7 separate regions of the Mus musculus genome follow, and all the other regions are reported to be linked to region 1. The links are microRNA targets in miRTarBase. Many come from high-throughput screens and were not tested one by one. Region 1 holds a microRNA gene; each other region holds the end of a gene's coding sequence.
The links. The annotated mature microRNA mmu-miR-185-5p reads UGGAGAGAAAGGCAGUUCCUGA and lies in region 1 at 1,992-2,013, opposite strand. An mRNA with a match to its seed (bases 2 to 7 or 8) in the 3' UTR can be bound and repressed. Matches are read on the target gene's strand: a 7mer-m8 pairs with bases 2 to 8, a 7mer-A1 pairs with bases 2 to 7 and ends in A, and an 8mer does both.

Region 2: miRTarBase lists Rnf152 as a target of mmu-miR-185-5p. The part of its 3' UTR that is shown has no 7-base or 8-base seed match.
Region 3: miRTarBase lists Agpat5 as a target of mmu-miR-185-5p. Seed matches in the 3' UTR shown: 7mer-m8 at 1,586-1,592.
Region 4: miRTarBase lists Septin9 as a target of mmu-miR-185-5p. Seed matches in the 3' UTR shown: 7mer-m8 at 2,583-2,589.
Region 5: miRTarBase lists Ephb2 as a target of mmu-miR-185-5p. Seed matches in the 3' UTR shown: 8mer at 647-654 and 7mer-m8 at 1,832-1,838.
Region 6: miRTarBase lists Fmo5 as a target of mmu-miR-185-5p. Seed matches in the 3' UTR shown: 7mer-m8 at 837-843, 7mer-m8 at 898-904 and 7mer-m8 at 993-999.
Region 7: miRTarBase lists Ryr2 as a target of mmu-miR-185-5p. Seed matches in the 3' UTR shown: 7mer-m8 at 745-751 and 7mer-m8 at 796-802.

Annotation. Positions count from the first base shown.
Region 1 is chr16:18,325,447-18,329,513 of GRCm38, forward strand. Mir185 (microRNA 185) reads right to left here and starts at 2,019; the gene lies at 1,955-2,019. The region is part of intron 1 of Tango2 (transport and golgi organization 2); the gene reads right to left.
Region 2 is chr1:105,280,614-105,284,680 of GRCm38, reverse strand. It overlaps Rnf152 (ring finger protein 152), which reads left to right. Exons shown (of 3, transcript NM_178779.4): 3 at 1-4,067. The coding sequence ends at 462. Among named protein-coding and RNA genes, the nearest start is that of Gm17634, 73 kb to the left of the region's middle.
Region 3 is chr8:18,881,436-18,885,502 of GRCm38, reverse strand. Agpat5 (1-acylglycerol-3-phosphate O-acyltransferase 5 (lysophosphatidic acid acyltransferase, epsilon)) reads right to left here. Exons shown (of 8, transcript NM_026792.3): 8 at 1,090-3,765. The coding sequence ends at 3,540. It overlaps Gm35934 (a long non-coding RNA gene), which reads left to right. Exons shown (of 2, transcript XR_870172.3): 2 at 1-2,372. Among named protein-coding and RNA genes, the nearest start is that of Gm35934, 19 kb to the left of the region's middle.
Region 4 is chr11:117,359,764-117,363,817 of GRCm38, reverse strand. Septin9 (septin 9) reads right to left here. Exons shown (of 11, transcript NM_001113487.1): 11 at 1,493-3,395. The coding sequence ends at 3,263. Among named protein-coding and RNA genes, the nearest start is that of Gm51932, 26 kb to the right of the region's middle.
Region 5 is chr4:136,651,557-136,655,614 of GRCm38, reverse strand. It overlaps Ephb2 (Eph receptor B2), which reads left to right. Exons shown (of 16, transcript NM_010142.4): 16 at 185-4,058. The coding sequence ends at 293. Among named protein-coding and RNA genes, the nearest start is that of Lactbl1, 31 kb to the right of the region's middle.
Region 6 is chr3:97,651,144-97,655,210 of GRCm38, forward strand. It overlaps Fmo5 (flavin containing monooxygenase 5), which reads left to right. Exons shown (of 9, transcript NM_001161763.1): 9 at 339-4,067. The coding sequence ends at 684. Among named protein-coding and RNA genes, the nearest start is that of Prkab2, 5.0 kb to the right of the region's middle.
Region 7 is chr13:11,551,123-11,555,189 of GRCm38, reverse strand. It overlaps Ryr2 (ryanodine receptor 2, cardiac), which reads left to right. Exons shown (of 105, transcript NM_023868.2): 105 at 579-2,087. The coding sequence ends at 674. Among named protein-coding and RNA genes, the nearest start is that of Ryr2, 550 kb to the left of the region's middle.

The sequences.
Region 1 (4,067 bases):
GGCTCAGGTCAGGTTGTGTTCACTCTCAGGTTTGGAGAGGGTTTGTGCAGTGGCCTTGGTCCTAGTTGGTGCACACATAAAGATGGGCCTGTGGGTCAGGCCCTTGATAGCCCTCCTTTGCAGCACAATACACCTAGAACCCAGCCTATTCTCTACTCCAGGGCCCTAGGTGAGGGCCTTCAAAGTCTCCCTGAGGCACATCAGCAGAAAGCATGGGGTTGGAGACCTAAAGACAGCTGTCACTCACTTCTTCAGGAATCCTAACAGCCACTACAGCCTTGGAAGAAGCCCCAGCTCCAGGGATACCAAGGGTATCACTGTGACAGACACTGGCAATTCTAATTCTTGGGTCTATGAAATTAAGCTTCTTCAGACTGCCACCAAAGCAGTGCCTGCACTACCGTGGTAAGGAGGCTCAGGACAGTCTGTCACGGCTACATCTTGCCTTAGAGCCCTGGGGAAGCTAGCAGCCTCAGCAATCTGTGACAGTGCCACAACATCTGTCCCAGAGTAGCTGGCAAATTGGGGCTTAGAGTTCAGCAATCTCCAGAAAGGCATAAAGTCAAAGCCACATAAAAGACCTACCCTAGAACTAGGCTGAGACAAATGCTCTCGGGGTAAGGGAGGACTATACCCACAGCTATCTTCAGGAGCTCGGAAACATTGTGTATAAATAAAAGAGGAAAGCAGGGTATGGTGGGCAGGGCTTGAGCTCAACCCCAGGAATGCACACATAAACGGAAAGAGGTCAGTTGTCATCTAACCTCCCCAAGTATGCTGTGGCATGTATGCCCACTTCTAAATACAACAATAATCATTCATAAGATTTTAAAAGTAAAAAGGAAGAGGTGAGGTGATGGCTTAGCAACTGAGAAAACTGGCTGCTCTTCCAGGAAAACCAAGTTCCAATTCCCAGCACCCACACAGTAGCTCACAACCATCTGTAACTCCAGTCTCAGAGGGTCCATTCTAGCCTCCATGGGTCTAGGCACATATATGGTGTACACACATACATTCAGGCAACACGTTCACAATATAAAAATAAAATAAAATAAAATAAAATAAAATGGGGCTGTTCTAAGAGAAATTGTGGCATACCTAGCATTCTATAAAACAGGAAACAAAGCCACACTGTGGGGTGAAGAACCCTAAAATTCAGTGACCTTGGCAATTAATTAAGATTGACATGCATATCACAGACTAGCCATTCTAGAAAAAGAAAAGCAGTCAGGAAAACAGCTATGGGATAGAAAAAGCAAGAGAGAAAACCAGGGGTCAAAGCACAAAAAGGAATCTTTACAAAGTTCTTTGAAAAATGACAGCCGCCGGTCATTTTTCAAATGTGGTGGCACTCGCCTTTAATCCCAGCACTTGGGAGGCAGAGGCAGTTTCTGAGTTCGAGGCCAGCCTGGTTTACAGAGTGAGTTCCAGGACAGCCAGGGCTACACAGAGAAACCCTGTCTTGAAAAAAAACAACAACAAAAAATGACCGCCATAGGGCCCACGAAGGCCAACAGCATTATGGGGTGTGTGTGTGTGTGTGACAGAACAATGATAAATTCAAGACCGGACTGGACACAGCTAATGAGACAGGCAGTGCAAAGAACTGTCTTTATGGGAGGTATTGGACCTACATGCCCCTCCTATCAGCTGCTGGTGTCAGGAAGAGGCTTTGGCTCTTAGACTCCTTTGGTCCTCCCTAGGCTGTACTGGGTAGGACCTCTGGCAGAGGCAGCTATCAGCAGACATAGCCAGATCAAGGGTGTTTCTCTAGTTCAGCTGCAGGACCTGCCATCCTAGCTGGCCCTAGCAGACCAGCCCTCTAGGTTGGAGATGTGAGGAGGGCTCCAAGGTCCACAGGAAGGCCATCGATGTGTCTCCAGGCAGCCTGGAGTTGGAGGTGCTGCCAGAGCTCAGGGTTGCAGCATCGATGAAGACGCAGTCATTGGGAGAGAAGGACCAGAGGAAAGCCAGCCCCTGGGAGGGGACCATCAGGAACTGCCTTTCTCTCCAATCCCTCACCCCCCACTCAAGCCAGGCCCGCTGCCCCACAGTCCCTCTGCCGTCTCTGGCCAGCAAATTACTCCTCATACCTTTTTCCTGATATACCTCTCCCGTAACAGATCCTGCCTTTACCTAAGCCCAGATGTTTTCCCAGGAAGCGGCTGGCAAGCCCCTGTGAATGCCAGGCATCTCCAACCGGCACCCGAGGGTCTGATGCTCTTTTCGGGACTTGGTGAGGTCCCTTCTGCTATGCCACTTCTTTAGCCCCTTTCTTGCTCCTGTTCACCTGTGGGCTGAGAGCAAACCCTAGCCATTCCCTAGCCTTCTGATCGCACACTGCAGAGAAAGTAGGTACGTGATAGTCAAAACTACCTCACAGGGTTCACACCCCTGAACTCACTAGATACTTCCCATGCTCTCTGGACCAGCAGGGCCCATGGGACCACAACAGAGCGCTCGTACCACAGGGGGTCCTTAAAGGCCATAAGGCTGTGTCCGAGGGCCATGTCCTGGGGAGAGATGTGCCTGGATTTCTTCATGATAATTCTACCTCGCTATTCCTGGGCTTATTATTAGCTAGTGGGTTTTCAGTAGAATTTCTGTTCTTGGCAGTCCAAAAAAAGCCCGAGTGACCAGGGTCATAAAAACTGTAGAATTGCTTGAGGTCAGATTAGTCAGTTACAATGGTGAGAGATTAAAAAAATAAAACTCCCTGGAAGAGCTGGAGAAATAAGTCAGCAATTAAGAGCACTGGCTGAGTCGGGCGTGGCGCACGCCTTTAATCGTAGCACTTGGGAGGCAGAGGCAGGCGGATTTCTGAGTTTGAGGCCAGCCTGGTCTACAGAGTGAGTTCCAGGACAGCCAGGCCCACACAGAGAAACCCTGTCTCAAAAAACAAAACAAAACAAAACAAAAAACAAACAATAACAAAAAAAGGGCACTGGCTGCTCTTCAGAGGGCCTGGGTTCATTTCCCTGCATGCACAAGGTGGCTCACAACCATCTGTATCTCCAATTTCAGGGAGTCCAATGCCTTTTCCGGGCTCCCTGGTCCACTGCACACATGTGGTACATGGACATACACTCAGGAAAAACACCCATATACATAACAATAAAATGGAAAACAAAACCAAAAACCCTCTGGGCATTTGTAGAAAGGGAGGAGGGTGACAGCCTGCTAAGCACAGGGCCTCAGTCCTGGGGGTTCCTCGGAAAGCAGTGAGCAAAGGCTGAGACCATGATAGTAGATTCCAGCCTGGGGACTGGGACCCATGCCAAAAGGTTCTTGAGGTTACAAGTGCAGAAAGAGCCCAGAGCACCCACATCTCACACCCACCTGTCACTGGACAGAGGGCTCACACTATGTCCTTGGCCTCTATAAAAAAAGTCAAGCACCCCATTTCCACCAATACAAGTACACCTCTCTGCTCAGTGGGCTCACTGGCAGCCAAGGTGTGTACAGTGCAGGCTCAGTGCAGGAGACCTGGGCTACCTACAGCCTACATACTCTAATAGTCTCTTTGGAATGTCCTGCTTGTGGAAAGAGTCCTCACTAACACAAAGCCTTGGGCAATGCCAGATAGGCTCTGTTACTATGACTTGTGATGGTGGCCTTGGGACATGTAGTTATCAGCTGGATATTACAAAAAGTCAGCCACATGGTACAGAAATCTGCCAATTCCATATAATCAAGTTCTAGTAAAATAAAACCATGGATACCCAGCTTAGCAAGTTTTCCAGCTGGCAAATTCCATCTGTGTTGTTCACATACCGCTGCTGAGAATTGAGCAGGGGCACGCAGCTCCATTGAGAAATGGCAAATAGGAACCTGTGCCTAGTCTTGCTTAGATTCTGTGCTTTGTCCTTTTTCTACTGTTGATTTTAATCGATACCCATCCCTTGTAATAAACTGTACTAAGACTACAACTCTGATCTGATAGGGATCAGTTGAATGAAGATGGTTTTGAGGTTTCTTCAACAAAACTGTGGCCCTACAAGAAGTCACCACACAGTGACTCAGAGAGGGGAGCACCCTGGTGTAAGGCCATGCAGTGGCCCCTGCTT
Region 2 (4,067 bases), not on the chromosome of region 1:
TGCCCCTGGTGCCGTGGCATCACCAAATTGCCCCCGGGCTTCTCTGTATCACAACTGCCCGATGACCCAGAGGTCTTGGCAGTCATTGCCATACCACACACTTCCGAGCATACCCCAGTCTTCATCAAACTTCCAAGCAATGGGTGCTACATGCTGCCCCTGCCCATCTCTAAGGAGCGTACACTCCTGCCGGGAGACATGGGCTGCCGCCTGCTGCCAGGGAGCCAGCAGAAGTCTCTCACCGTGGTGACCATCCCTGCAGAACAGCAGCCCCTGCAGGGTGGAGCTCCCCCGGAGGCTGTGGAGGAGGAGCCTGACAGAAGGGGCGTGGTGAAGAGCTCCACATGGTCTGGCGTGTGCACTGTCATCCTGGTGGCCTGTGTTTTGGTCTTCCTCCTGGGCATTGTGCTACACAACATGTCCTGCATCTCTAAGCGCTTCACTGTGATATCCTGTGGTTGAAGTCTTTCACAGGGATGCCTCTTGTGGGTGCCAACTTAGGGGGTGAGCAGGTGTTGGTGATGGGATCCCTGTGATGAGATGGGGGTGACACTGCACATTTGGTGCAAGCGCTGGCCTGCAATTGTCACTTGATTCACCTAAAGACAAGTGCAGAGGGTGAGGTCTCAGCAAGATCCCAGGAGAACAGTTTCAAGATGGTGACAACTATGAAGATGTTTGCATGCTTCCTCATAATTGTGTATCCAATGGGCTGTAATTTATGATTTTCCTAAATCATGGTCTCAAGTTAGACTTTTCTACTTAGACATGAAAATGTACATGTGGGTGCAATAGCTCTCTAAATACGGTAGACGGTAGGTTAAAACAGATGCTGTGTACACAAGTAGAATTAAACCTCAAATCCATGTTTAAAAAACAAAAACAGTGAAGACCCAGAGCTGGCTCCTGTGTGTGCATGTTTGTGTGTGTATGCTCACGTGTGTGTGCGTGCGTGCGTGTGTGTCTGTGTGTGTGTGTGTGTGTGTATGTGTGTGTGACTGAACCCTGGTCTTCATAAACTTTTTATACATTTTGAATGGCACCCAAATCAAAATAATCAAAACAGACCTTTTGGCTGTTTGAAGAAAATATTTGCACACATGTCTTCAGTGTGTTGTGCTTTGCCAAGTTCCTTCATTTCTCTTCATCTGTGATTTAAGCTTGCTCTGTGCTTGTTAAGCTGGAAGCCCAACAGGCAAGTGATGGACAGGGAAATATATAGGCAATGTCTAATTCCCTAAGAAACCTATATGCCAATCTTTCTCAAGCCATCTCACAAGATAAGAATTTAAAGTGTAAATATTGTGAATCTCTGTGTGTATTTTGTGTGTGTAATTCAATTTATCTCAGGTTTTTGAGTTTTTCCTGAAGAATCCTGGGAGTAAGACTTTGTGGGCGTGCATAAGCCAAGTGTCTACAACACCAGCCTCCTGGCCGGTGCCTGGATCTTTCCCCCACATCACCTCCAACATCCACTTGCACTTTGCTGTGTATAGTGATCCCATGTCAGTAAAGGCTCAGACAGAGCATCAGAAGAACTCGTCATTTTCCCTCAGTTTGGAGGGCTTTGTGTCAAAGTCACAAATGTTGCTAATCAATGGCATACCTAGATGGGCATTGTAATAGACAGTCCTTGATGATCTTTTCTTTGAAAGATTTTCCTGTAAGAGTTAACCTGCTTAGAATTCAATTTCATCTTGTTGGAACTTTCAAGAAAATGTTTTGTATTTCAAATGTTTCTACTGCCAAAAGTAGTACGGTGAACAAAAATGCTCACCATGTAAGTGAACCAGTTTCTCATGATTGCTCAACTATTTTTAAATGTGAATTTATGAAGAAAGATCTGTTAGCATAAAAGAAGCAGTCCCTAGTCTGGCTGTGTGTATTCTGAAAGAGTTGCCAGCGCTATAGTCCTCTTTGAACTCTGTTTGTGGAATGAGTGATGTTTGTCAAGGACTCCACTCAGCTGTGTTCCTCCCTGCTGTTCTGTTGAATCCCTGAAATGGTGGAAAGGGTGGGAAAGGCAAAGGAAAGGAAAGAGTGGCACAGGATCTAAGCAAGGTCAGAAGCAGCCCTGGAACATGGAAGCATGATTGGCCTGCTGGCCTTCATCTTCAAGCTGCACAACAGACGTGTGCTAAAGTGATGACTTTGCAGTGAAATAAAACAGAGGAATAACATCTAGAGTACAACGATAACAATTGACATGAAAATTCAACATCAAATTATGAGCTCTGGTTTTTAAAATCTTTCAAATTTATAAGACCTTTAGGAAAAAAATGTATCTGAGGGCTCAAACTAGAAATTAGGTTAAAATACCATTTTATCGTGTAAGCTATTGGGCATTATACAACGAATAATCTAGGATTTATTTGGTATTAATAATTTAGGTATCATTAGCTGAATACTATCCTCTATTATGTAACATAATATACTGTTGGGTTAGCATCAATTTCTCAAACTCTCAGGCTGCTCTAATGCATGTCTGACCCACTTTCTATTTCTCTCGGAGGAGAAAACACACATAGACAAAAATGTTGCGTAAAGGATGTTATGTTTCCAATGGATGTTACTCTTGCAATTTTAAGCCAGGCCATATTTAAATTCATTTGTGAGAGATATCAGCATACCTTCCTGTACAGTAGAAAATGAGTGATCCTATAGTACAGTGTGTGAAAATGTTCTAGTTGTTTAGGAGGCTATTTATAGATACTAACATGTGTGTTGATATGGTGTCCTGTGGTTTTTCTTGCAAAGCTGTATAGTAAAATTGTCCACAGAACTCCTAAAAAGTTCATGTTAGAGCTGTAATTAAGCAAAATCAATCTGCTCCCTGGTAGACTCTTGACCTTACAACCTGACAGTAATAACCCAAGTCAAAGCTTTTTTATGTGTGCTTGGTCTAAGAGACATTATTTAAAACGGTTGAAATGGATTCTGCCTATGGTTTGCATATGTGCTTATTAGGGTGTGTGTGTGTGTGTGTGTGTGTGTGTGTGTGTGTGTGTGTGTGTGGTTGTGTGTTAGAGGAGGGGGCAAGGAGGCCTGCCAACTTCTATATACTTGATGTTTCAGTTTATTCTGGAATTTACCCACAACACTAAAACTTTATCTATCTCATGTGGGGCAAGCAGCCAGGGCTTAGAATCACATGCCAGTGGCAGGGACAGCAGTTGCAGCTGAAAGGAGGCTCTAGTGGCTTCATCTTGCAGATGAGCTCATTGGGGTATGTAGAGAGCAGTAGTGTGCAGGTTGTAATTCTATAGCAAGAAGACAAGACCCGTGTCCTGCTGTGCCGTGTTATTCCTCCCGAGGCACACCACTTTCCCTCTCAGGCTATGATTGTTTACAGAGTCTGGGAAGGCCCTGTGTCAGCTATTGCTTTGAGGGTTGCTTCAGATATTAATTTCTTTTTAGATAGCTTCTTTTTGGGAAAGAAAAGGGGGGGGGTTGATTTAGGAATGAATGAAGGTATTAAAAGAAAACTTTCAAACCATGTGATTCGAATATTTAGAAGTGTAAAACATAAACCAGGATCCTGCCCCCCACATGTCCAGGACGATGAGTGTTGTGTAAATAGTAACCTATAAGAAGCATGAATTTCTTCTTTATTAATGATCTTGATATAAGCAAGAGAATGCTTACCGTGTTAAGTAGAGCCAAGTATGGCACTTCATATGTCGTCTTTAGAAAAATTTTGTATAATGACCTGGGACATAAATTGTAATGATAAAGGCAAATTAGTTCTGAATTTCAGTCACACCTTATTATCAGGAAGGTCTGAGGCTTTTTTTTTTTTTGAAACAGAATTAAATTTCACCCTCTGCATTACTCACAGAGTGGATCCATTGGAGTTTCAGCTGTATGCTAGTTCAGCTCTTGGAATTTTCTAAGTCAGTCCTGTTTGATAGAACTTTTGGGATTGATGGAAATTGTTCTGTATTTGTTCAGTGTTGTTTAGTAGAGTGGCCACTAGCCACATGGCTGTTAAGCAATTAGGTGGGGATGGCTGAAGAAATGACTTTTAAATGTTATTTAATTTTAAGAAATTTAAAATTAAATATTCC
Region 3 (4,067 bases), not on the chromosome of region 1:
ATCCCAAGCAATTCTCTATATAACTTCTCTTGTTTGTGTGGGTGGTGTGAAGAAGATCTTGGTACACAGTCCTGGCTAGTCTGAAGCTTGCTATATAGACCAGGCTGACTTGGAAAACACTCTCTTTCTCAAAACCTGGATTTTCCGAGTGCCTGGATGGCAGCCATGTGTCACAACTCCCAGCTGTTATCCATGATATATGAATAAGAGATTTTAAGTTCAGTCAGTCACACAAATACTTACTTTACCTACATGATATCAAATCATCTGGATATTCCAAATATTAGTCTCACCAAAGTACTGATTTTCATACTAATACTTAAATGTTATATATTCTGTCTATAATGTAAACTATATAGAACTGGTAATATTTTAAGCCAGCCAATGTTTAGTCTTAAGACAAAAAGAAAACGAGAAACTAGCCTGGCCATGGACATGTCAACGTTCCGCAAACACTCAGTCTTTAATCTCAACACTTCAGAAACAATTGTTGAGGTTAAAGTTTATTTAGTGTTTTACATATGACCTTATTGTCTTGTGAGACATTTCTGTTCTTTCAAATGTAGATCTGGTACACAATTAGGAGCCAGTTTGTTTATGCCGACATTTTGGCAGATTTCAATATGTAGTTTTCTTAATAGCCAACCTAGTTAGGTCATTTGATTGACAAAGCATGTAATGTGACAAAGAAAAAAATGTATATTTGTTATAAAAAAAAAAAACCTCACAGCAATCTAAGTAAAAAAACAACAACAAACAAACAAACATAGAAATGAAATCTGGAAGAAGCCACCAGTGTTTAAGAAATGGCCACGGTGGCATTTTCATGTAAAGCTTTGTTAAGTAAATCCTACAGGTTTCCTGGGTGAGGGTCACATCCTTTAAAGTAGGCAAATTAGCTTATACAGTCCAACTTTTGGATTGCTTCACAATTTGGGGTATTCCAATGTATTTTTTTAAAATCATTGCTCAATATTTAAAAAATATTGTAGCTTTCTAAACTCAGAATGCAGGGTTAATCGCTAACCCTTTTATCTGCTGGAAAATGGATGAATCCCTGAGTTGTGAAATGCTAGTGATCACAGACATGAGAGACAAGAAGAGACTTTATTTGTTTTCTTACTTTCATCCCAACATCCTTTCTGAAAAACATAAAAGCATGCACACGGATGGCAGTCTTATGAAGGAGAACAACTGCAGCCCCTAAGCTGCAAGCTGATGGTGATACAAGTAAGATCTTACACTATGTGAAAAGAATCATAGACAGTTAATTTTCAGGAAATAGTGATGTCAAGTCAAAATAAACATGTTTAGGAGATTCTTCTCATCTTTCAAAGATTTTGACACAATGTATTTTCTAATACCACATTTGATAGGCTACTTGTGAGGAGAGTGAGTCCAGTGCTAATGATCAAGAGATCTTACGCAGAACACTGTGCCCTGTTCAAAGAGAATCAGCTATAATCCATGTAATTCCAATGGTTCTGTGTCTTAAAATTTAAATGCACAGCATATCCATGATATTTAAAGAGTGAGTGAGAGAGAGAGAGAGAGAGAGAGAGAGAGAGAGAGAGAGAGAGAGAAGGGAGAGACAGACAGACAGATCCATGGAAGCTAGAGGATGTGTCCAATTCCATGAAGCTGGAATTCCAGCCTTCTGTGAGCCTCCATATGAGTGCTGGGAACTGAAGCCCTTGAAAGAGTGGCATGTGTTCCTAACTACTGAGCTATCGCTCTAGACCTCAGCCATATTTAAAGTCTCTGAACTTGTACTTATTTTGATCTGGTCAAAATAAGCTCTAATAGGATTGCTGAAAAAACGTATTTAACAAAGACATGAAATCGATTTTAGCCTCACTTTGTAAGTAAAAACCATTACAATTCAGCACAGTAACATGATACACAAGCTGGATTGTTTTTAGGCTGTTATATTCTATTGGCGTGTGTGTATGAATATACATGTTCATGTGTATCCATACATGAATATAGACACTAACACATAGAAAACAAGTGACAGCACATGACTCTTCAAAGATGTTTGAAATGGCTCGTTTTCTGGCTTTGAAAAAACAAGAAGCAAATTTTCCCTCAATTAAAAAAAATTATTTATTGTGATTCAATTGGTCTATTTCAACTAGATCATTGGTATAGTAATTTTGTGACAAAAATCTGTATGAAATTTGCAGAAATGTTACCTTGAATGACTAGTAGGCAATCACGCTTAAATCACAACATAGAAACACGGCAAATCACACGTTAGAAAGCCTCTTCTCACAGGACACACCGTGCCGTGACTCACGACAGTATGATGTGCTCCTGAAAGGTAGCTCTGTTCACAGGGGACATGTACCAACAGTGTGGCTCCATGGAAATCAAAGAGAAATAACACATTTATCCAATCCTGATGGTTCTTGCCATAAACAAACGCACAATACTTCTGTAGTAGCCAAGAAGGCTCACCCTCAGGAGCCAGGGAGCTGCCCCTCTGAGTCAGGGCAGCACCACCTGCACCCCAACAGTGAACAGCACCACTGGAGGACACAAAACCACAGAGCCAGGGCTGAAATAAGCAGTGAGCACCTACACTCTAGATCGAACGCAGTGCCAAAGCAAATGGAGCCAGGCAGAAGGCACGTGCGAGGACAGAGAGGATGCTGGCAGACTTTCATCGCCTTAGAGCTCTGTTCATGTCTATTCCGATATGAAGATAACGGGTCCCTTGCATTTATAAGTACTTAACGGCTCAGGTGCTGGAGGTACTAACAAAGCAGCTCAGTAGCTGGGCTACTAGAAGCTCTGACAAAGGAGACTGAGTCACAGCAGAGCTTCAAGTCTATTCTGACACTTTACACATTATTCTCTGTAGAATCGGGGGTATGCAAATCAAGCATTTTAATAAATATTAAAAATGTTCATTATTTTGCAAATATAAAGAAAATTAGCTAAATAGAGCAATATAATAAAAATATACACTAGACAGATCTTTTTTGCCATGAATAATTCTCACCTTTTTCTTGGAACATCTTAACGCATCATTACAGTGTCTTTCATTGACTTTCAGAAACTAACAACAACAACAACAAAAAACCAGTATCACATAGCTTCAAAATGTAAAATACTTTAGTATTAAGAGTCTGAGCTGCCAAGTAGTCAAATGGAAGATAACCAATATAGCGAAACATACTGCAAACTAGTGTTAAAATACAACCTTCTGAATTACAGAAAGTATCCAATAATCTTTACAAGTGGAGATTAATTCATGAAAACATTAAAAAAAAAAAAACAGCATAAACTCCACTTAGCTTCCATGTCTCCAGCAACCCCAGCACCTGAAAAGCCACATGTGTTTGCCCCAAATCAAATGCATGTTGGCTGTGGTCACAAACTCTACTTTATCCAGTGTTCAATCATCAAGGCTTAAAACAGAACAAAACAAAACAAAAAAACAACAACAAGAAAACTCCTTATTTAATTCAGGAAACAATGTGATACAACGTGTAGCCATCAATAAGAGACTGTGACTGCAGCCTGCTACTTGCTTATGCTTTAATAACAAACCACAGGCAGCCAAGGAGGGTTCCATACAACCAGGTGCCCATGTACAGTTTCCTTCCGGACTCCGTCATCAGCATGACAGCAGTCAAACTCCCCAAGATCAACACTGAAGGTAAAGTCTTCTTCACACTTAGTCTGGAATGAACACTTTTCCCAGGAAATTTGTTTCTTCTTTCTGGATCTGGTGAATCATAGAACTCTATGAGCAACCTATGGCCAGAAGGAAAACAACAGAATTGATCTTTCAGTTTTGGACATTTTTGGTGTTGAAACAAACATAAACCATTTATTAGGTATTGAGTACTTGCTGAGCAAGTACAGCTCCTTAGAAAACTTGGATGAGTGCAGAGGTGTCCGAGAGGCACGGGAGGGCATTCACGCCTTACAGTATGGACATGATATTATATCCTCACCACGTGGGAAACAAAAATCAAAACACGGCGGGGATCTAAGATATTTAATGAGGACTTCGGGGATTTTTAAGATAAAGATATGTTTATATACTTTTATGT
Region 4 (4,054 bases), not on the chromosome of region 1:
GCATGGGGTCCCACACCATGAAGCCACCTTGTCCTTTGTCCAGCTTCCCCTCCCTCCTCCCTTTGGTTCTAGCTCTGATAGTTCCATGGAAAGCCCACATTTACATTCAGGGCTGGAGCCCACATTGCATAAGCTTGAGTTCCTGAATGTGGGTCCCAGCACCTGAACTTTTTTCCTCTTAGTATGCCTGTAACCCCGGTACTGTGGAGAGTAGAAAGGTGAGAATTCCCTCATTGCTAGCTAGGAGGCACAAGAAAGCCCACGTTCCTGGGCAGATGAGAACGGCTGGCCACTCTGGTCCTACAGTGTCTGCTTGAGTGGGAGGTGAGGTTTCCCCCATCACTGGCTTGGAGGTGCGGGTGAGCTGGGCTGGTGGCCAGTCAGGTTAATGAGCTGACGACTGCCTAAGCACCTGGGGCTGGAGGGGACTGGCGATGCACAGAGAACAGTTCAGTCTTGAGGAAGGAGGAATTCGAGGTGTACTTGTCAAGGAACTTAGAACTGGGGGACTCAAGCAAGCTGCCTCCATGGACCAGACCCCCTCTACCAGTGCCATCAACAGCCAAAATCAACAACTTGATGCTTGGTTCCATGAGGCCGCTGAGCACAACTCATTGGCTGATGAAGCCCGTTTGTCTTCAGGTGGCCTTCGGAAGAGTGTGGGCAGGCCAGAGAGGTAGGGTCACTCCTTAGACCACTCACTCGGCTTGGTGGATGCAAACGAGCCTCGGGTTGTTCTCTCATGCTGTCCCTGTAGCTCTGGAACCCCTGAGACGCAGGAAGGGAATGTGGGGAGGTGATCGCCCCAGATTCCCACCTGCACAGAAGCTTAGAATAAAACTTTATTTGAACACAGGATCTTTACAGATGTAATTAAAATCAAGATGAGATTATCCTGGGCTGAAACGAGTGTCCCTCAAGAGCAAAGTGCATGGACCTGAAATAACGCAGTCCCCAGGAGCAGGGGTGGCAGGGGACTGGGGATGGAGCCATGCCAACACTCGGTCCCGGGCTTCCGAATGGTGAGAGTGTACACTAGTATTGTTCCAGGGTGTCTGGATTGCAGTCACTTGCCACAGGAGCTTGGGGACATTAAAGCACACAGAGAGGGACCCTCCCCTTTCCTGATTCCTGTACACAAAACTGGTTGGCTCAGCCAGCCTCCTGGGACCACACATGGTTTAGTTCTCTTGGAATAACATTATTATAAATGGCCAGTTACCAGGGTCTCACATAATAAAATTTAGATTTGTATTTATGTGTATATGTGTCTGCCACATGTGTGCAGGTACCACCAGAGGCCAGAAGAGGGCGTCAGATGTCCCACAAGCTGGATTACAGGCAGTGGGTGTGGCTAACTTTTCACCACTGGGCTGCTGATTCCTAATTCTGGATCTCACACAGTCCTATAGCTTCCTTCCACTGGGAGCCTCTACTCCCGTGCTCCCCTCACCACCTTTAATGGACCAGACAGGTCTTGCCAAAGAGAACTCCAGAAAAAAAGTTTGTATTTGAAACATTTATTTCAGGAAATACATTTCAACACTTTGTTATTTATACAAAAAAAAAAAAAGAGAGAGAGAGAGAGAGAGAGACTTTTCTGCCCCCCCACCAGGAAGCCCCCAGCAGAGGGCCACGTGGACCGGCCTGGTGAGACGAACAGTTTCAATACCTGGTTACAGAGGCACAAAGTCATCCTGATGACCGGGTTGCTGCTAAATCCCCAGGGTCACTTGGGCTGGTGAAGGCCGGAGTGCCCTGGGTCCAGCGTGCTGGAGATTTCCTTCAAAGTCCTGATTTTGGCAAAAGAACTTGGCAAGCTGGCAAGCGAACTGTTCGGCCACAGGGCATGACGAGGGGCCCTTCCATGCTTGGATGAGGGAGTAGACGCCCAAAGCAGGAAACAATGTTCGTCTCCATCTGTCTGCACCCCACCCCTCCCACTGCACTTCTGGGCTGCAGAAAGCTAGCCCTGGGTCTGTAGAGGCACCTTCCCCAAGCGGGTCCAACCTAACGCACCTCACCAAACTTTCTCCTCAGGGGCAAATGAGAATGGGAGGCAGGCAGGAAGGACACGGCTTTGGTCAGCTGTGCATGGATGGTCCCTAATGTTCCCTCTGAGAGAAGATGAGTGAGCCTGGCTATCCATCTCTGACCCCCTCATCTTTCCCTCTTTAGGGGTATTTTTGATGGGTTCTGGGGCACAGGGCTAGTCTAGGCTCATGTAGACAACAAAATGGTCAGGTTTCTGGCTCCCACCCAGTACAGTCACTGAATCATCAAGGCTTGAGCCTGGGGTGTGTGGGGTGGGACAGGGTGAGGCAGCGGAGCATCAATGTAACCAGAATATCTTGGCCCAAACTGAGGACCACGCGGATATGCCTTCCGCGGCACCTGGGCAGGAGAGCTCCCACACACTCTTATGCCTCCCTTCCACGGCTTCCTCCCTCATGGCTTCGACTCATCTTCTTGCTTTGACCTTCCTTACATTGGGGGCGGGGCTTCCTAACATCGGGGAGCATCTTTCACGCTTCGTCTTTTATAATTAAAGCCCAGTGTAGTAGCGATATCTACAGCACAGGGGAGAGAGAACCCAAGGGCGAGGGAGAAAAGATACCTCCCTCTCTCCAGCACGTCCCTGCTTTTCACCCAAAGGGACATCTGGGAAGAGGTGACTGGCTCTTGTAGATCAAGGCACTTTCTGCTCTGGGACAAGCTCGAGGGGCACGGTTGTCACTTTGTCTAAGTGATTGGCAACTTTGGCTGTGACGCCTCTAGTTCCCTTGAGGGGCAGGCAGCTGAGGGCGCTGTAAGAAACGCCCCCGGAGGGGCAGGTGAGGTTTCAGGAATACCCGGCCAGCTCCATCCTCCTTTGGGGCAGTCTCTAACCTGCTTGAGGCTGCGGCCATGGGGTCTTGTGGTCTAACGGGCTCCTCTGCACCCCCTAGGACTTGGCCCCCACAGGCTTCAGCTTAGAACTCAGAGCGGGGGACGGACACATAGCTCTTCTAACCCCTCAGGGGCTGAGCCCGGGTGGAAATAGAGCACAGAGGCAAGCCCAGGCTTAGCCCCGCCCACCCTGCTGCTGCAGCCAATAAGAGCACACTTGGGAGGTAAACCCTCTCTTGTTACCTGGCAAAGTGTGGGAAGAGATGGATGGAGGCAGGTGACAAGGAGATAATTATATAAAATAAGACAGGGTAGGTGGGTGGGCCAGGGATGATGAAAAGATCTGGGGGTGGGGTCCAGGGGCGGGACGCATCTACATCTCCTGGGCTTCCGGCTCCTTCTCGATCCCGTTGGCCATGGCGCTGTTGCCCTCGTTGAGGCGTTTCACTCGGTAGGCTTCGAAGTGGATGTTGCTGGTGATGTCTTTGATGTTTTGCATGTGCGTCCTGCAGGGAACATGGCCAGCATTGGGGGGGAGGGGGTGACCACTTAGCCTGCCTGGGATGACAACCGCCTGCCCCTCCTGGCTCTTAGAGCCATCCTGCAGGCTCTCTGTGCATACCCAGCAAAACCAGGTGGCGTTCACTCGCTCTCTGGTAACTTTAGACCTTCTGTGGCCTCACATTCTAACCCGTACCCCCGTCTCTGTGTTCACATTGGCTAGTCAGGGGCCTGCACAAGGATGGAGAACTGGGCACTAAAAACACAAAGCTGTGGAAGGTCTCAAGGCCTTCTTCACCAGTGAGCAGGACTTGGGTATTCGTGCTCCAAGACAGAAATTCATGCTGTGGCCAGCAGGAGGCAGCAGATGACCACAGTCCCCAGCGCTGCCTACCCTGACATTCCTAAACTGACTTTTTAAACAAAGTTTCTTTTTGCAGGTGGGAGCCAGAGCCTTAAAGCCTGCCAGGCAACTTCTATCTATGGCCCACACTGCAGACCTCCCCTCCTCTTTACTTTGGGAAGGGGAGTGGGAAAGGTGAGGAGCCCGGAAGGCTTTATTCCTGGAATCCCCACCCCAGGCCCTCAGACAGTCCTGCCTGGCAGGACTTTTTCTACTAATGTATATTAATCACACAAATGAATTTTTTCTTTTAGTTTGTTA
Region 5 (4,058 bases), not on the chromosome of region 1:
ATGGCCTCCTGCCTCCCCATTGACTGTTGGGACCCCCGAATCTCTACTCTCTCTTTGACACCCAATGCCCATCCCCACACCCCTTCCCCATCCCTCACTAAGGGCCTGGGGAAGTTTAGGCTGCTGGCCCATGACCCCCCCCCCAACACATACATTTTCCTAGTTATGTCTATCTCTCCCAAAGGGACATTCTCCGCGTTGGGGTCACTCTAGCTGGCCACCAGAAAAAAATCCTGAACAGTATCCAGGTGATGCGGGCCCAGATGAACCAGATCCAGTCTGTAGAGGTTTGACATTCGCCTGCCTCGGTTCTCCTCTTCCTCCACGCCGCCCCCTGAGCCCCCCTACATCGGTCCCCCTGCTGCTCTGTCCACTACAAGGTCAGCCACCTGCCAGGAGGCCACAGACAACAGGAAGAACCAAGCAGCACTCCAGCCAAGCCGTCACCAAGAGCCCATGCAAGTCAAAGGAAGGAAAAGGGGATTGGGTGGGGGGGACACGCACCTAGATCTGGGAGGGGGCGGGACAGGCAAGAGACGTTCGTTCCAAGAGGATTCTCATAAGGGAAGTGACGGTTCTTAGAGGAGAAAAGCAAAAGGCTTGGGAGATCCACATGGCCTGTCCCCGTGAAGGCCAAAAAGCATTTTCTCTCCAACTCCTTCTGGGAAGGTTGAGCTGGCCAGAGCCAAGAAACACTTCCAGGAACATTAACATGAAGGGAAGAGGTGAGCCACCCTCCTTGCCTGGCCTTAGCCGTTTCTTGGAGCATCACTAATGGCCCAGCCCCCAGGCACAAGGGGCAGAGAGACAGGCAGTCGCCCCAGATAGGCTCCGGGGAAGTCCATTCCAGCTGCCACCGGCAGACAGGAGGATAGTTGTTCTGTCTTGGGAGACGGTTTCCAAAAACTCCGAGAGACTTTCTGCTAATGGTTCAGGAGGCGGAAGAGGAGCTCCTGGCCTCCCAGGTCACGCCAAACAGGCTAGATCTTCCTGAGGACAGCCACCCAGGTCTGCAGCCCCACAAGGCCCTGCTCCTGATCAGCCTCAGCCAGAGGACGAGGAGGCAGGTGACTGTCATCAGCCTCGACTGCCACAGAGAAGCATACTCTTGCATCTGGGTTTGTTTACAGCGATTCCGTGGACCGGGGGTATTTTGATCAGGGGTGGTTTTGGTCTGGGAGGGTTTTGTTTGTTGGGTTTTTTTAAAAAAAAATGACAATGAAGAGACACTTTGACATTTCCTACCTTTTGAGGACTTGATCCTTCTCCAGGAAGAAGGTGCTTTCTGCTTACTGACTTAGGCAATACACCAAGGGCGAGATTTTATATGCACATTTCTGGATTTTTTTATATGCTTTTCATTGATACCCTTCCCTCCTCCCACCTGCTGCCAGGCCTCACCAAAGCCAACTGTCACAGGGCCACCTGGGCCACTCAGAGACCTCAGTGGGACTGGGAGAGTGGAGGGAACTACATCAGCGCCCACACTGGACCACAGACGGAGGCAGATGAGGGCTCCAAGGCCGGAAGTCCTCCCTTCCTCCCTGTCTGCTCTCATGCTCTCCGCCCTGTTCTATCTGGCACTTCCCAGGCACAGAGGCCCCTTCAGGTTCCTGGGTGCTCTTCAATGGCCAAAACTCGATTTCATGTCTGGGAGCCTGGACCAGGCTACCCGGGAAGTCAGGACCCTGATCATTCACTGTGACACCCCAGCCCTCCAAGGGTACCCCGGGAGACCACGTGACTCTCTCTCTCTCTCTGTCTCTCTCTCTCTCTGTCTCTCTCTCTCTCTCTCTCTCTCTGTCTCTCTCTCTCTCTGTCTCTCTCTGTCTCTCTCCCACTCCTTCTTTCCCCGAGGCCTTTGCCTGGGTCTGAAGGTCTTGGCCAGAGGAACACCATCATCAGTCAAGGGGTCTGGCCGCAGGCTCCCCTGTGAGCAAATGCAGGGAATCCGAGCAGAACAATCGGTTAGTGAATTGAATGGAAATAAATGCTTTAGTTATAAAATGACCCCTGTACTCTGTAAGTTCCAAGAAAAAGATCCTGGCACCTTTGGGACCTGCCAAATGACTTTAATGCTCTTGCAAGGGACTCTTCCCCCTGCCCCTCAGGATCCAAAAGGCCCAGGCTGAGGAAACTCATGGAGGCAATCAAACAAACAAACAAAGAAGCTCATGTAGCCTTCTTAGCCTAGGGTCATCAGAAGCACAGGCAGAGAAGCGTAGGCACTGGGTTGGCTCAGCTCTGCGTTGCGTGTACAGTGCCTGGCTAAGTAAGCCACGTTAGAAGTGGTGGCCCGTGGACCCCATTCAGCCACAAATGTAACCCCCTCCCCCACACAATGCTGTCTCCTGTGCTAAGGGCTCGGACTTACTGTGAGTAGTTCTTTTGTGTGGAGGAGGAGAAGGAGGAAGAGAAGGAAGAGGAGGAGAAGGAGGCAGGAAGTGTGTGTGCTGCAGATAAGACTGTTAGAAGAGGAAGGGGTATCCCAGAGACAGCTCATCTCAGGACCATTTCCTTTGTCTGGTGAGCATCTTTGAGGAGCCTATCCATGGGGGAAGATTGAGGCCACAGGCCACCAGCAAAAGACCCTGCAGTGAGCAAAACCATCGTGGCTCAGCCTGTCATCTGTCCTTCACCTATTCTCAACCCGGGAGCAGAGGGAAGGAAGGGATTAGAGAGGAAGCTTGTCCCTGGGGTAGGGACAGCGGGCCTGGACACAGGGCAAGTATTGGCAAGTTTCCCACAAAGCAGCAAACAGCGGCCCGTTGGCCATCCCTTAATGGCCCAAAGACACCCAGCGCGGATGGCAGCTGTCCCAGCACACAAGGTCACCTTCTGGTGGGAGCTTCTCTGATGCTCTGCAGATTAACTGTCTCCCCAGCCCACCTCCCACCACCCCAGAGCCCCACGAGGCCTGGCAGTCAGTGTTTCCGTCAGATGGCTTCCTGCCTTAAGCCACTAGGCTGGCGTCTTCTAGCCAGCTCATCTGCCCATCCACCCTCTAGTGCCCAAAGTATTCGTGTAAAGCCGTAGGACTCTACATGTCTACTTCCAGAATACGGGTGCTATCCAGACCTTCTGTCTCCTCTTCAGGGTACCAAACAGACACCGTCACTGTGGCAGTCCTGAGTGTAGGCCCTGCTCACTTCTCAACTACAAGACATCGTCCTCCCCCCACTCCTCAATGCTCAGCAGGGAGTGGTAGGCCCTGCTGCCAAGCGCCTTCCACTTAGGCTGCCCGCTCACATGGGCACACAGCTTGGAGCTATCTGCTGCCTAGTTACTAATCCCTTCCTGGCTCCACCCCCCATCCATCTCCCCACTCCCAGCCCCCCCAAGCACTAGCTCCCACCTGCCCAGCATCAGGAACCGCTTCCGGCTGTTCAGCCCAAGCTTGTTTCTTGAGGAAAGAAAGCTGTTTTGTGAACCTGGGCCAGGGCACCATGGAAGTGGGGCCAGCTGCTCTGGGAGAGTGTGCCTGGAAGAGCCACTCGGGGCCAAGTTAAGTATGACGGAGCTGTGCCACCCACCCCAGAAGTCTCACAATGGGCTGTTAGTGGCAATCAACAGGCCTGTTCCTGAGCCGGTATTGAAGGTGTCTTGCTGGTAGGTTGGTAGCACGCTTGCCTGGCATGCACAAAGCACTCGGTTCCACCCCCCAGCACTGCATAAACCGGATATGGTAATATATGACTGTAAACTCGGTACTCAAGAAATGGAGGCAGGAGGGTTAGAAGATCAGTGGCATCCTTAGCTACTTAGTGAGTTCAAAGCCAGCCTGGGCCACATAAGACCTTATCTCTAGGAAAGAAGTTATGGTCAATAGTGACATCCTTAGTGCTAGACCCACTGCTTCTGAGCAGACACAAGAGTAGCAGAGAACACTTATACAATCTACTTACCAGCTGGGCCTCAAGTCCACCCTTTCCAGTATCCAGAGCGCCCACCTTCTCTATGGCTGAGAGGTCTATGCTGCCCCCTTGTGGGCACTCACTAACATTGCACCCCCTCATAGATCCCACCCCTTGCTGAAGGACTCCCACCGGAGACCACCA
Region 6 (4,067 bases), not on the chromosome of region 1:
CTCATCCTTTGCCCACCCCCCCTCCACCCCCCTGCATGATAACTCCCTCCGAAACCTGCCAGCTGCGATCTCTCTACATTTTCATTTCCCCATCCAACCTGAAATATTTACCTGAAGGCTTATCCATGTCTGGCCTTCTGGAGCAGAGTGTTTATGCATTAGAGTCTGCTGCATCTTAAGGTCCGTAAGGAAGGTGATAAATGTCCTAACTCTTCACAGTCCTTAGCATGATAGCAAACCCCCAGATAGACACTCACAAAGCACCGACTGGCTGATTGGTTGCCTTGCTGTTTGCGTGAATTGCTGATAGCCTGGGACTTCTGTCTTCTTTGCTTTAGGTATGTGGACAGCCAGCGTCATACCATCCAGGGAGACTATATAGACACCATGGAAGAGATTGCAGATTTAGTGGGTGTCAGGCCCAATATCCTGCCTCTGGTCTTCACTGACCCCAGGCTGGCATTACGGTTACTACTGGGGCCCTGTACTCCAGTCCAGTATCGCCTACAGGGCCCTGGAAAGTGGGCTGGAGCCCGGAAAACTATTCTCACCACGGAAGATCGTGTTCGGAAGCCTCTGATGACAAGAGTGGTGGAAAGAGACAGCTCTGGGGGGTCACTGGTGACAGTGCGTGTCCTCATGCTGGCTGTTGCTTTCTTTGCTGTCATCCTGGCTTATTTTTAGATGTGGCAGCGCAGTACTTGAGCTGCCACCGGAAAACGCCATCTAGCCACACCTTCAGAACCTGATGAGACTGAACACAGCTTCATACTGCACAGGAATCAATCACAATCTCTCTCTCTCTCTCTCTCTCTCTCTCTCTCTCTCTCTCTCTCTCTCTCCCTCTCCCTCTCCCTCCCTCACTTTCTCTCTCTCTCTTCTCCCTTCCTCCCCCTCTCTCTCCTCCCTCAATCATTAATCCTTCTTGGTTTTATTTCTGTGATATTGGGTTTTCACTAATTGATTCATCTCCCTCCCTCGTGAGCCTTTTGTCTCTCCCTCTAGTCATTCCCAGACCGTGAGCTCAGGCCCCCTTCATCATCTTTGTATGTCATTAGCAGGGTTCTTTTAATGCTTGACTCTGTTGTGTTTCTAGCACTGCACAGCTAGACCTCGCTGGATGATAACCCATCTTGAAAAGACTGCTTCCATTATCAAGCGCATATTGGCAGCACTTGACCTTATAAGCAGAGCCCACATATCTATTTCAGGAATTCCCACAGAGGGCAGTCCAGAAAGAAGAGCCACTTAGTGCTGAAGACTGGGAGTCCAAAATCCAGGGTGCAGACAGTGAGGCATTCCTGTCTTCATGATTAATACAGTGAGGGTATCACATGGGCAAAACAGAAAATAGCTAAGTTCCGGCATGTGGCACATGCTGAATAAATGCTCGTTGATATGTATGAAATAAGGTGTTATCTCTAAGTCAATCTAATAAATGGCTAACTCTATAGAACTCTTAATGTGATCCATTATCAATTTTAATAACATTAATTTTATAAATTATTTTTATAAATTAACTAGTTATTAATTTTAGTAACTGAATATACCTGTCTTTCAGATGGGTGGTGGGCATTTAAACTCAGGTCCACTTGCCTTCACAGCAAGTGCTCTTATTCACCAAGCCATCTTCCTACCTCCTGCTTTTATATTCTTAAAAAAGAAACTACTGACTGAACATAGTGGCACATACCTGTAATTCCAGAACTTGGGAGTTCCTGGCAAAGGATCACCACAAGTTCAAGGCCAGCCTAGTTCCCAGAGTGAGTTCCAAGCCAGCCAGGTTTGCATAGCAAGAACTTGGCTCAAGCAACAACAAAATATACAAAATCAGAAAAGGATTTGCTCTTCTAAGTTTGAAAGTCTTTTAAATAATTTGCCGTCTTCCAATAGGTTGATTAAAGAACCTGAGGCTTTTAGTTAGCTATCCTGGCTTAATCTTGAAGGGCTAGTGTTAGGATCCAGCTGAGGCAGTAAGCAAGTGCTAGCACTGGAGGTGGGGTCAGCAAGTGTGATTATTCCCTCCCCCTGCCCCGCCCAGCATTGAGGTGGGGTCAGCAAGTGTGAGTCTCCCCCTGCCCAGCTCCCTCCTTCCTTCAGAGTCTACATAATAAGAATCAGTAAGCTCTTCCACGTCTTAAGTTAGAACTAGTATTAGTATTAACTAGGGGCATTCTGCCTAGACCAGTTCTTCCTGTGTGTAGTTCAGAAAGGCAGGAGTGGAACTGAAATGCAAGATTTAAGAAGCATTGGCTGTCAGAAGCACTTGAACTCCCTAAGGATAATTTGACCCGCTGCAGGAATGGCATGAGAATAACACAAATACATGTAAGCAGATACGTGAGAATTCAAACTCCTAATTATACACGGATTTGAACAGCTGCCTAATATTTTACCCAGTGTACTCTCTGTGAACTTGAGCACTGAGCCCTGGTTGGGTTTCTAGGGCCCTTTTCCTTCCGAAATCCTTTAGCAACTGAATGTTTGTCATTATTAAAATGGGTCTGGGATTTTTTTTTAATCTGAAGATTGCTTTCGTTCAAAAATAAACGGAAGCTCTGCATCTTAACTTTTCTTCTTTTACAATGTAAAGGTCCTCTCATTGAGCTTGTAAAGATATTGAAGCACTACACTGCCAAGAATGTAATCTCTACTTATGGGCACTAATACCACAGGCTTCTTTCAAAGCCTGTACTTTTAAGTAGCTTCAACTCTCTCGTTCTGCTTAGAATATGCAAAACTACAAAAGCATCATTGATTTCTAAACCAAGCTGAAGGTAAGGCTAGGATAGGACCTTGAACTTAAAACAACTGAAGATACAAAGAGTAGTTACTGATCGATACTGATCGATGATCGTGTGCTGATTCACCAATTCATGCACTTTGCTCTTCTGGCCATATTAAAAGATTACGTCACTTACCCAACTATGATAAATCTGATGATCCAAAAGATGTATTCTTGCAATGCAAAGAATAAAGAAATGGCCCAAATGGACTGACTAGCTCATGTCAAAGGGGTATAGAAATCATTTCAAAGTGGCCCCAGTGGCCAAATTTGAAATAAATGTCGAGCAATAAATAACCTAGTATTGGATTATAACCTGAAACACAAAGATACCTGAGTCCATGCCATTATAGGTAAATGATTGGAAACATTATCAGAATGGAATAAGTAAAGCCCCCACACAGAATTCTAAATATTTTAGTTCTTGCCCCTCAAGGAAATGAAGCAAAGCTCTCTCAGATGTACTGCATAGATTAACTTCCTTTAGAAATCTAGTGTGGGAAGGGGTGAGGGATAACTGCAGAGGAGAAGTCAGACAGACTACCTCAGTCAGATGCCCACATCAATACAAGCATTGGCAATCACTGGTAGTTGTATGCATGAGATGACCTCTGTGGTGTTTTTCCTTCAGATGATAGCCCAGGCTAGGCAGGAGAAAAGTACCATGCAGGCAGCCTCAGGATGATCTACGAATACCTTACTCCCCTGGAACTGTTGAAGTCATCAAAAGCCAGTCTGAGAGAGAGAGAGCTTCCTAGCATACAGGAGCCTTGAGGAAGTATCCATGGTGAGAATTCAAGAAGAGAAAAAGAGATACTAAGTAAAAATTGAAGAACTAGTAACAATTGTGTACTCTGGGTAAAGAATGATGTGTCAATATTGGTGTTAAACTAATAAATGCACCACCATGACATGTTCTCAGGAGGAAAACAAGCACGCAGAACCTCTCTGTCGTCTTTGCAACTTAAGTCTAAAACCGGTGCACAAGATTTTTGTTTGTTTGAGTTGTTTTAAGTTCAGAGTTTGACCTGAATTACAGTGTACTAAAAACTTCTCAGACGAATGTTGGATAGTCGAAGATGGCTCGCTCTTGCAGAGGACCTGGGTTTGGTTCCCAGAATCCATATAGTGCGTCACAACTGTCTGTAACTCCACTTCTAGGGTATCTGTCTCCCTCTTCTGGCCATCGTGAGCACTGCATGTGTGTGGTGCACATGCATGCATGCAACAGCACTCTTTAACAGATAAAATAAATATTTTTTTAAAAAAAGAATATAGGCTG
Region 7 (4,067 bases), not on the chromosome of region 1:
CAGACATACATATTTGATTTGAAAAAGAAAAAACATTGCTTTTAGATATTAATTATGCTACCTGGAGAGAGACAGCAAAATTCTAATTTCACATTTAAAACTAAGCTTTTAACTAAAAATACTAAGTTTCCTTGTGAATTCAATCTTTTTTCTTCTTTAAAGATTGTGGCTATTGTGTGGCTTATACTTTCAAATAAACTTCCACTTACAAAATTATAATTGGGAAAAAAACATTCAATGTCTATGTTTTTTTAGGAAAATTTGAAATTCCCCTTCTGGGTTACTCACTATAAATGGATAATAGTTTGAACTTGGATAAAATTAAAAATCATAATAAATGTAAACCTTAGAGACTTAAAAATATGTTGTTATCATATATTGGTCAAGCTAAAGACATTCTGTTTATTTGAAGATCATTTATTAGTGATGGTAATTTAAGTGGGGCTATCTGAATGCAATGGGACTTTTCTTGTTTTAATGATATATCAATGGGGTTGAATGACTTCTTCTACTCTGTCCTGTGTTATCTAATAGATTTTGGACACTGGGTTAACACACTTATTTTCTCTTTTTTACAGGAATCTTACGTCTGGAAGATGTACCAAGAGAGGTGTTGGGAATTTTTCCCAGCAGGGGACTGTTTCCGGAAACAGTATGAAGACCAGTTAAATTAGCATCATACCTTGATTGTCTCTGAAAACCAAAAGCAATCTCTCTCTCAATCTCTCTCTCTCTCTATCTCAGTCTCTCCTCTCTCTCTCTCTCTCTCTCTCTCTCTCTCTCTCTCTCTCTCTCTCTCTCCCCCTCCCTCCCTCCCTCCCTCCCTCTCCCCCCCCACCTTGGAAACACCTACTCATATTTTCCACTAACCAGCATCTTGTGCTGATGCACGGATGCTCAGTCTCAGAGGACCTGACTGTTCTCCCCCCACCTCATGTATCTTCATTGAGAAACAAAGACCGAAGAACAATCCAAATAAGCATTCAGACTAACCAGGAACTCTGGAAAGGAATTCATCATGGATACTCTACCATAACACCCATGGACAGCTTCCCCTGAAGGGTCATGGAGTCTCCACAAGCTGCCAGACCTGTGCAGCCAAGCACGGCAGTCACACTCACCCAGGCTCTTTATTTTGCCATCCCAGAAGGAAGTGTCTGAGGGTCATAGAGCACTGTAGCACTTAACAGGTTGCCATGCAAAGGGAAATAGTGCCTTACTATAAGTGGGTTGAGCTATGCAGAAGATAATGTGCATGACAAACACCTTTATTTTCTTTACATCAACCTTGTTTTCTTAGATAAAATGGTTTTGTGATTTTGGTTTCTTTCTTTTTTCTCCCCTTTTATTCTTTTCTTTGGTGGAGGAGGGTAAGAAAAGCTATCTGCGCTATTTTCAAAAGAAGGGTGGTGTGTCTCAGGACAGAAGGAGGCTCTTGTCATCCAGCTACGTCACATTTACCCTCCCCACTTTGGTAAAGACTCTGATGCTACATGGCAACTTATGAAATCTTTGTATGAAAAAAGAGACTGCAAAAATACAACTTTCAAAAGAAATAATTCATTGCATGTTTATTATGCAAGTTTAAATGAACAAAGAAAGCCCTCAGAAACAAGTTGATCCACATGGGAGAACTTTCGTGATAATTACATCCGTAGTAACAAAGCTGTGGGCTTCCTCATATTTCTGGAGTCAGTGTCATCCACCGACAGTTGGAACCATCGCCAATGTGACAGTAGTCTTGGGTTTTCCTCTTTCTTTTGGCCACCTGTGATCAGTCATTGGTTAAGGACGCCTTGACAGGCCATCTTTTGATATCCAAGCTGAAGCAATATCCATTCAGAGATTTCATTGGTTGCATCATAAGACATGGGTGACCATGTACATCGATTCATTTTATGTTTTTCTTTTTTCTTTTCTTTTTATCATTTTGAGTCCTTTTAAATGTAATTCTAATCTTTACAATTAAAAAAAGACAGGTTCAGAATGGAAGCGAGGTCATTCTGCGAACATTGGAGATCTTTTATTACAAGTCTGCTTGTTAATTTTAGAATTGTAAAACGGCTCTAATTAAACTATTTAACTAACTTCCTTGTTCTTCTCCTATGTCTTCCTATTTCACATATACCAGGAAATTATAGAATCCCATGCTTTTAATTCAGTTTAATTGTGTATAGGACAAACCCAGACACTTCACAGTCAGACAAACATAGCAGTATTTGTAACAGGAGAGCTGGGTTCACCAGGCACCTTGACCCTTTTCTATCTTATGGGGTAATTCAATGACAACTAACTCTCTTCCCACTTTTAAAATTTTCATACAACTTTCACTTTAAAGAACTCTTCCTTGCTCAGGCAAGTGAACTTTTCCATAATAATTACAACCCACTTAATATCTTAATAGGAAAGAGAAGTAGACCATAAATAAGTAGTTCATAAAACACAGAGATGATGCTAGATCATCAGGGCTATCAGTTATCATCTGTTCAATTATGTCTTATCACATCACCAGAGCTCCAGAACCTGGCTTTTGTGTTTCTCTTTTGGAGTCACTTTTATTTGAGGGAAGAGATAAATCTTGGCACACTGTAGATATTGCTACCAAGCCTTCTCAGAAATGGGACCTTATGTCATAAAGAGTCTGAGCCAGTAGATCTGGTCAGCTCTCTAACACATCAAAGAACATGAATCCCTGTACCATTCTTATTTGAGACAAATTTGGAAGTTAGATTCAGATCTTCTATTTATAATGCCCACATTGTGGTAGACACAAAACAATAGTAAAGGTAAGAAAAAAAGGAAATAAAGTCATAGATTTGTCAAGATCTGTGCACTTTACTGACTGACAGCTCCTCAGAGGTGATAGAAATATCAGGAAAAGAGACATTGGAATTGGTGAAATGAGGGTTCTGTTAGCCAATGGGTGTTGCAAACACATCAGTGTTGGAAGAAAAGTAAAAACACAGGTGGGCTATTTGTGCAAGTCATACCTGTCCAATCACTATTGACCAACACAGCAGGACATCACTGGGAGACCATCCAACAGAAGATGGTAAAATCACTATAGGGGTGCAATGCCTGTAATTTCAACACCATGGTGGAAGCCCAGGGCTGGCCTTACGCTACACAAGTGAGTTCAAGGTCAGCCTGTGATGGGGGAGACTGTCTAAAAGAGACAAAAGGAATTCAACCTTATCAGCATTATTTATTTGCCTAGGAAATATTCAGGGAATCTCAAACACAGTGTGACTCTACCTCTCTGATTCTCTAGGCTGCCTGAGGCGAACTCAGGAGATGTGATCCTGTGAGGTATTTTTCTCATCCCTATGATTGAGTACTGGACACGAAACAAATAATGGAAGAAAGGATTTATTCTGGTGTGGCTTGAGGGGTCCAGTCTATCAGGATAAGAAGGCATGGTGGCAATAGATCCATAGTGGTAGACGCTGTTATCTGGTTTGTTTATAGTTCAGCTGGTTGGGAAGCAGGAAAATCAACTCTGACTGCTATGGCTTTACATCTGCCAGCTGGATCCATGTTCAAAGGGTCCCACAGACTCTCAAAACTACAGGACCAGCTGTGGACCAAGGTTTCAAGCCTTTGGAGGACCATTTAAATTCAAAGCATGATAGTCATCCTCTCAGAAATATTTTATCTCACCCATTCAGACATTATCAGGAACACTATCATGGTCACCCTGGGTACTTACAAAGCTTCAACACATACAGAAATCATTAATTCTCATCTATTTTTTTCTTTCTGAAAATAATTTTCTCTATGATTCACAGAATGGATTCAGATGGATGGTTTTAGCAAAAGCTTTCCAAATGTGATAGCCCTCCTTAGATGCACACCTGGCAGTTTTTCCAAGGACAAGATACAGCTTGTTTTCATTCACAACCAGTTCCTAAACAGAGCCATCGCATCAAAGGCCCAAATGTAGCTCTGTAATTAGCCTGTTATCCTCTATCAACCAGGCCAGTGTGAACCACCACAGGCCCCTTCTGACCTTATAGACTTCCATGGGGAAGCAGAGTTAGGAAATGTTTAAGTAAATACCAGTGATG